Linked DNA regions of Sus scrofa. Each later gene encodes a partner of the first gene's protein in a complex. Links are inferred from orthologs where the notes say so. Each region holds a gene or a part of one and is shown on either strand. Other genes may lie near its edges. The genes, in order: ELMO1 and RHOG.

Region 1 (3,822 bases):
CTTTCTTTCTTTCTTTTTTTCTTTCTTCCTTCCTTCCTTCCTTTCTCTCTTTCTTTCTTTCCCTTCTTTCCTTTCTTTCTTTCTTTCTTTCTTTCTTTCTTTCTTTCTTTCTTTCTTTCTTTCTTTCTTTCTTCCTTCCTTCCTTCCTTCCTTTCTTTCTTTCCTTCTTTCTTTCTTTCTTTCTTTCTTTCTTTCTTTCTTTTCTTTCTTCCTTCCTTCCTTCCTTCCTTTCTTTCTTTCCTTCTTTCTTTCTTTCTTTCTTTCTTTCTTTCTTTCTTTCTTTCTTTCTTTCTTTCTTTCTTTCTTTCTTTCCCTTCTTTCTTCCTTCCTTCCTTCCTTCCTTTCTTCCTTTCTTCCTTTCTCTCTTTCTTTCTCTATCCCAACTGAAAGGTATATATGAAAACCTTTACTGAGTAGATGAGAAATACAGAAGACACATTATTATCTGGAAGTTTAACTCCTCCGATATATTTCTGTCCCTCTCTGTGCTACATGTAGACGCCAAGTGCAAATGCCTTGAAAAAAGGAGAACTCTAATTCTAGGCAAAGCTGCCACTTTGTTTGCCTAATTATTTTGTTTTAAATTCATGCAATAAATAACTAATGTATGTGAAACACACGTTGTTGAAAGGTGGAATTTGCAAGCCCCACTGTGCTGTGCTGAAAGATATTCAGTAACCCTGAAAAATTATTTGGGTGTGTAATGAAACTTTTGAACATTGTGTGTAGGCAGTTATTACTCAGAGTATTGACTGAACCGGGTGAACATGCTGTATAAATTTGTGTAATTGCTTAATTAAGCAAATAGCTTTTTGTCACTTATAGATAATCATTTTACTACAAAGTAAACATTCTCCCCATTTTCCCTGCGCACTGCCATCATTGCCGGAGCGTCCCTGCTCCTGAGCTGTCGCTCTTCCATGGGATGGACGTATGGGTTCTGTTCAAAGAAGGCGACAGATGCCTATTGTGACATTGACAAGCATCGCGTGAAGGTGGGGTCACGACGGCTGGAACCCTGCCCTTAGCCTGTAATAATTCATCTAAATAATGTATCTTCATTTTTCAATGACATGTTACTTTTCTGTCCGTTGTGGATTCCACTGAAGACTCTTTGCTTTGTTTTTGTCCCCGGTGAGGCTCAAAACGCCCAGCAGCTCCATGAACGGATTCAGTCGTCGAGTATGGACGCCAAACTGGAGGCTCTGAAGGACCTGGCCAGCCTGTCGCGGGATGTCACGTTTGCCCAGGAGTTTATCAATCTGGACGGCATCTCTCTTCTCACACAGATGGTGGAGAGCGGCACTGAGTAAGCGTCTTTTATCTCGATTTCCATCTGCCCTGTACTTTCTTAATGACAGTCTGGGTGTCTGTTATTTTCCTTATACTAGCAATTTCTAGTTTTAATTACCAGAAATGACTAGGCGCCGGGGAAAAAAATTGGCTTTTAAGATAGTGTGTGGGGTGTGGTTTGTAATTTAAGTATCACCACATTCTCCACCCACCGACTAGCCAAGATCTAGGACAATATCTGACATTTCATATTTATAAGGAAAAATATTAGGTCATTATCTCTAAGGGCCTTTCCAACACTAAAATTACAATTCTTACAAAATAGAAATCCCTCATATCCCTTGCTTATCTCCAAGAACATTTTTATTCCCTGATTCCATTTAAAAAAGTATAAGAACACCTCCTTATGTTTCAAAGTCTTAAACCAGGTCAAAATAACATCCCTGAAGTAATTTAAAAAAATTAACATTGACTGATGAAATATGTGTCCTTAATTATTTACCGTTAAATACAGAAAATATTCATTCGGTATCTACATATGCAAAAAAGTAGAAGTTGGGAAAATTTGAAAAGATCAGAGTTCCCGTTGTGGCTCAGCAGGTTAAGAACTTGACATACTATCCGTGAGGATGTGTGTTTTGATCCCTGGCCTCACTCAGTGGGTTAAGGATCTGGTGTTGCCGCAAGCTGCAGTATAGGTTGTAGACGTGACTCTGATCTGGTGTCACTGTGGCTGTGGCGTAGGCTGGCAGCTGCAGCTCCAATTCCACCCCTAGCCTGGGAACTTAGGTGTGGCCCTAAAAAGGAAAAAAAAAAATTTGAAAAGATGTGAGCCTAACCAACCAAAAATTTATGGAGGCACAATTCAGTTGAGCTACAACTCCTTCTGAAGGCTGGGAGTCTAGAGGTCGGACCAGTTGTATCTCATGAACCTGACAGGGATTGGAGTTCTGTCACAAGCGAGGAAGGGATGGGCGGGTTTTGTTTGTTTGTTTTGTACTTTTAGAGCCGCACCCGTGGCATATGGAGGTTTCCAGGCTAGGGATCTAATCAGAGCTGTTGCTGCCAGCCTACACCAGAGCCATAGCAATGCCAGATCCGAGGCGTGTCTGCAACGTACCCCACAGCTCAAGGCAACACCGGATCCTTAACCCACTGAGCAAGGCCAGGGATCGAACCAGCAACTTCATGGTTCCTAGTCGGATTCGTTTCCACTGTGCCAGGGTGGGAACTCCGTGATGGGCATTTCTGATTGGTGCCCTCACCTCAGGGAAGGGTTTGATTCTCTGATGTGACTGTGGCGTCTAAGGAGCCATGTGGGTCTAGCTTTTATGAATGGACAGATAACTCGCTTGACCAGAGTAGCCCGGTGGGGTCTACAGGACCGGCTCATTTCCTATAGACAGGTGCTGCTGGCAGAGACCATTAGAGCGTGCAAGTCAGCACGTGAGAATGCAGAGCCCACTAACTACACTGTCTGTATTCCACCATATAAATGATGTGCAGCGTTGGGATAGGTGTTTACTAGGGAAGAATAAATAGCATTGAGAATTGGGGTTTCAACCTGGCTCCGTTAAACCTCTCTTCAGTACATAGTGATTTAAAGAACGACCTGATAATCACTATGAAAAATCTGGGCTACTGAGCCCCCTGCCTCCATCCCACTGCCACACCTTTGTAATAATCACTTACGGGAATTTCATTTTCTGGGCTTAACTAAAACCCAACCATCTTACCCACTCAGAATCCACACCACCATGATGCTAGGTTGACACCCAGCTAGAGAATATAGTAGAATCATAGGTTGTAGTCTTATGCCTGGACTCATTCAAAGTAAGGAGACAGTATAAGGCCATCATATTATGAAATAAATGTACCTAATGACATCATCTTAAAATGCATTTTATCTCTGAAACACATGCTAAAGAATAGTGAGGTCGACTCAAACTTTCTTTTTTTAATTGTTAAAACGCATGATTTTATAAAAGTGAAAAAAAAAAAAGAAGAAGAATGACCTGATGACTGTGTATGGTAGAGATGGGTCTCGGCCCACTCCTTTCCTTCCTTCCTTCCTGTCTCCTCCTACACTTGGCATTATTTAGCATCTGCAATTGGCACTAATAAAAGATTCTTTTTTTTCTTATTCAAAGAGAACATGTTTTATAACAGCAGGAATATCTCCTATATAAGAACGTTCTCCAGAGTTTGGAGTTGGGGGGGGTCTTACTTTACAGACAAGTATAGAAAATATCTAGGAATGAAGAGGGGAAAAAGGCAAATCCAAGAGGACTGGCCAGCAAGACTAGGTGATCTGGAAGGGGGCAATTGTAGACGGGTATCCGTTATTTTTTTTAATGATGGCTAAAACTCTTAGTACATTTTTGGCAAACATCAGCTTGGAGTAGGGCAGGAGAGCTGAGATTCTGGGTGTTAGCAGAATCCAAAGTAGTTACTATAAATTGGAGTTGGATCTTGAAACAGCTCGAGGGAAATTGAATACATTGAGGGATCCAAGAGGCGTGCCCGAGG
Region 2 (2,676 bases), on another chromosome or scaffold:
ACAGGAGGTTTTATTGATGCTGATGGGGGTAGGAGAGGCCCCCAGGAGCCCGGAGGGGGTGGGGTGGGGGCCAAGTCAGTCAGCGGGCGCAGAAGGCCTGGGCACAGGGGCGTAGGGTAGGGCACATGGATCTTCTCAGGATTCCGTGGCTCCTTCTTGGGAAGGGAGAGCATCTTGAGGGGAGCGATTCCAAGAGCAGCGGGGAGAGGTCGGGGACGGCCAGAGCTCCAATCTGAGAAAGCACCACAACTGGCAGCGACATCTGCGTGGACAGCGGGATCAGCTGCTCAGAAGGGAGGGGGCGCTGGGTTGGCTTCTTGGGGAGGGGTCCGACCTCGGCCTGGGGGAGCTCTCAAGAATACCTGGTGCTCCCAGACGGAGTGGGGTGGGGCCCAAAGCCCCTCTCCCCATGGGCCTCCTTAAGGAGCGAAAGGCATTCGGGGAGCCCCCTGGCAAGGGGTGCCAGGATTAGTCCTTAAGGCACAGCTGGGGGCAGACAAGGCGCCAAGGCACAAAGGCACAACTGGTGGGGGGCAGGGGCAGCCTCCAAGCTGAGTGCCAGGGTCACAAGAGGACGCAGGACCGCCCACGCTTGATGGGCGTGGGGTTGAGCACGGCCCGGACGGCCTCAGCAAACACTTCCTTGACGCCGTCCTGCTGCAGGGCCGAGCACTCGAGGTAGCGCACAGCGTGGATCTGCTTGGCCAGCGCCTGGCCCTGCTGCGGCGTGATGGGCGCCTGGCCCTGCTCCTTGAGGCGCCGTAGGGTGTCAGGCTGGGATCTCAGGTCCTTCTTGGTGCCCACCAGGAGGATGGGCACGTCGGGGCAGTGGTGGCACACCTCTGGATGCCACTTGTGCCGCACATTCTCATAGGAGGGCGGACTGGCGATGGAGAAACAGATGACGAAGACGTTGGTCTGAGGGTAGGAGAGTGTGCGGAGGCGGTCGTACTCCTCCTGGCCCGCTGTGTCCCACAGGTTCAGGTTCACGGTGCGCCCGTCGACTGCGCTCTGGGCGCTGTAATTGTCGAACACTGTGGGGATGTACTCCTTGGGGAAGGCGTTGGTCGTGTAGCAGATGAGCAGGCACGTCTTGCCCACGGCGCCATCGCCCACCACCACGCACTTGATGCTCTGCATCGCGGGTGCGGCTGCTGCAGCGGAGGCTGTGCCTCCCTCCCCTTCTGGCCTAGGGACAGACGAGAGGGACTCGTGTTAGGGAGTCCGCCATCCACGGGCAAGAAAAGATGGCATACAGAGGGAAACCAGGCGTTCTCGTCGTGGCGCAGTGGTTAACGAATCTGACTAGGAACCAGGAGGTTGCAGCTTCGATCCCTGGCCTTGCTCAGTGGGCGAAGGATCTGGCGTTGCTGTGGCTCTGGCGTCGGCCAGCGGCTACAGCTCCAATTCGACCCCCAGCCTGGGAACCTCCATATGCCCCAGGAGCGGCCCTAGAAAAGGCAAAAAAAAAAAAGAGGGAAACCCATTCTTTTTAACCTGACACCATCCCGAAATCCTATCAGAGAGACTCAGAGAGACAGACACATGATGGGAGAGAGTCGTCTGAGACCAAGCGGAGATGCTCGGAGGTACGGCGCTGGGGCTGGGGCGTGTGATAGAGCAGGTGAAGCATCTGAGTTCTGAGGCCAGACCGCGAAGGGCAAAATCTGGTTCTGCTGTCTCCTAGCTGTATGACCCCAGACAAGCTGCTTCACCTCTTTATGCCTCATTGTTCTAATCTGTAAAACGGGAGTAAAATAATAGCTCCCCCAGTGGGTTGCTGGGAGGAGTGTGTAAGTCTATATATATAAGTCAGCACATGCAGAGCATTTGGAACAGGCCGGGTCATAACAAGCCGTCAGTGATCATGCGCTGCTTTTCTTTTTCCTGCTTTTTATCTAAGTGTAGATAAAAAGGAGGGGCATAAGCGTAGAGACCGGCCAGATCCTCCGTCAGCCGCGGAGCCCCCGTGCTGAGCAGACTGGGGAGGGCTTCCGGCACAGGACAGCCGTCCGGGTCCCTAGGAGATGCAGCCATGGATGGAGCCCCTCTCAACTCAGGGCCAGCCCCGCCTAACACGCTGATGTTTCAGTTCTAAATCTGACACCCTGGTGAGGGCAACCCAAATGGTGCAGGGAGAAACCTGTTGAGTAGGAAGCACAATTCTCTAGACAGTGGCTGTATCTCATCCCGGGTACCCTGCCGTGGGGAAAAGGAGGAAGAATTCACCCCCTTGTTCCTGGAAGCACAGGAAACCCCATCTGGCCACACACAGCCAGCCTGGCAACTCAGGGCCGGAGACCACTGGCGACTGAGCCGGGGCTGGGACTGGGTCTGGAACCTTGTACATCACGATGGAAGGAGGCAGAGGCTGTGGCTCCCGATGTCTGCATCCCGTCTCAAGGTGGAGTGAGGCCGACCTTCGATTTTCCCCTTAATTCCCTTTTCTGAGACCACGGCCTCTGCCTCTGAAGAATCCGAGGGGCTGGCAGACTCGTGGGTAGAGAATGAAGTACCACAAAGCACGAGTGCTGAGAACACACACAGGCTGGAACAGACTGGCTGGGACTCGAACCACAGCTCCCCCAGCCGGTCCTGTATGGTCTCAGGCAACGTGTTTATGTTTCCTGAGCCTCAAATCTTCTCCTCCGTAGGACACGGATAAGCTTGCCTTCG

What was found.
Region 2: the proteins of ELMO1 (region 1) and RHOG are in contact, whole or in part, in a crystal structure (PDB 7Y4A), measured with the Homo sapiens proteins. The link is inferred for Sus scrofa from reciprocal best matches to the Homo sapiens genes ELMO1 and RHOG. Residues at the interface, in NP_001193409.1 of Homo sapiens: Lys9, Val10, Ala11, Glu13, Tyr18, Pro19, Leu21, Met22, Ala54, Asn71, Gly72, Ile74; in NP_001656.2 of Homo sapiens: Val36, Phe37, Asp38, Trp56, Tyr64, Arg66, Leu67, Leu70, Ser71, Pro73, Gln74.

The regions. Positions count from the first base shown.
Region 1 is NC_010460.4:36,964,281-36,968,102, forward strand, and holds part of ELMO1 (engulfment and cell motility protein 1), read left to right. Parts: intron 1-1,139; coding exon 1,140-1,309; intron 1,310-3,822. UniProt on the Homo sapiens protein: Involved in cytoskeletal rearrangements required for phagocytosis of apoptotic cells and cell motility. Acts in association with DOCK1 and CRK. Was initially proposed to be required in complex with DOCK1 to activate Rac Rho small GTPases.
Region 2 is NC_010451.4:6,292,693-6,295,368, reverse strand, and holds RHOG (rho-related GTP-binding protein RhoG), read right to left. Parts: upstream 1,141-2,676; coding exon 565-1,140; downstream 1-564.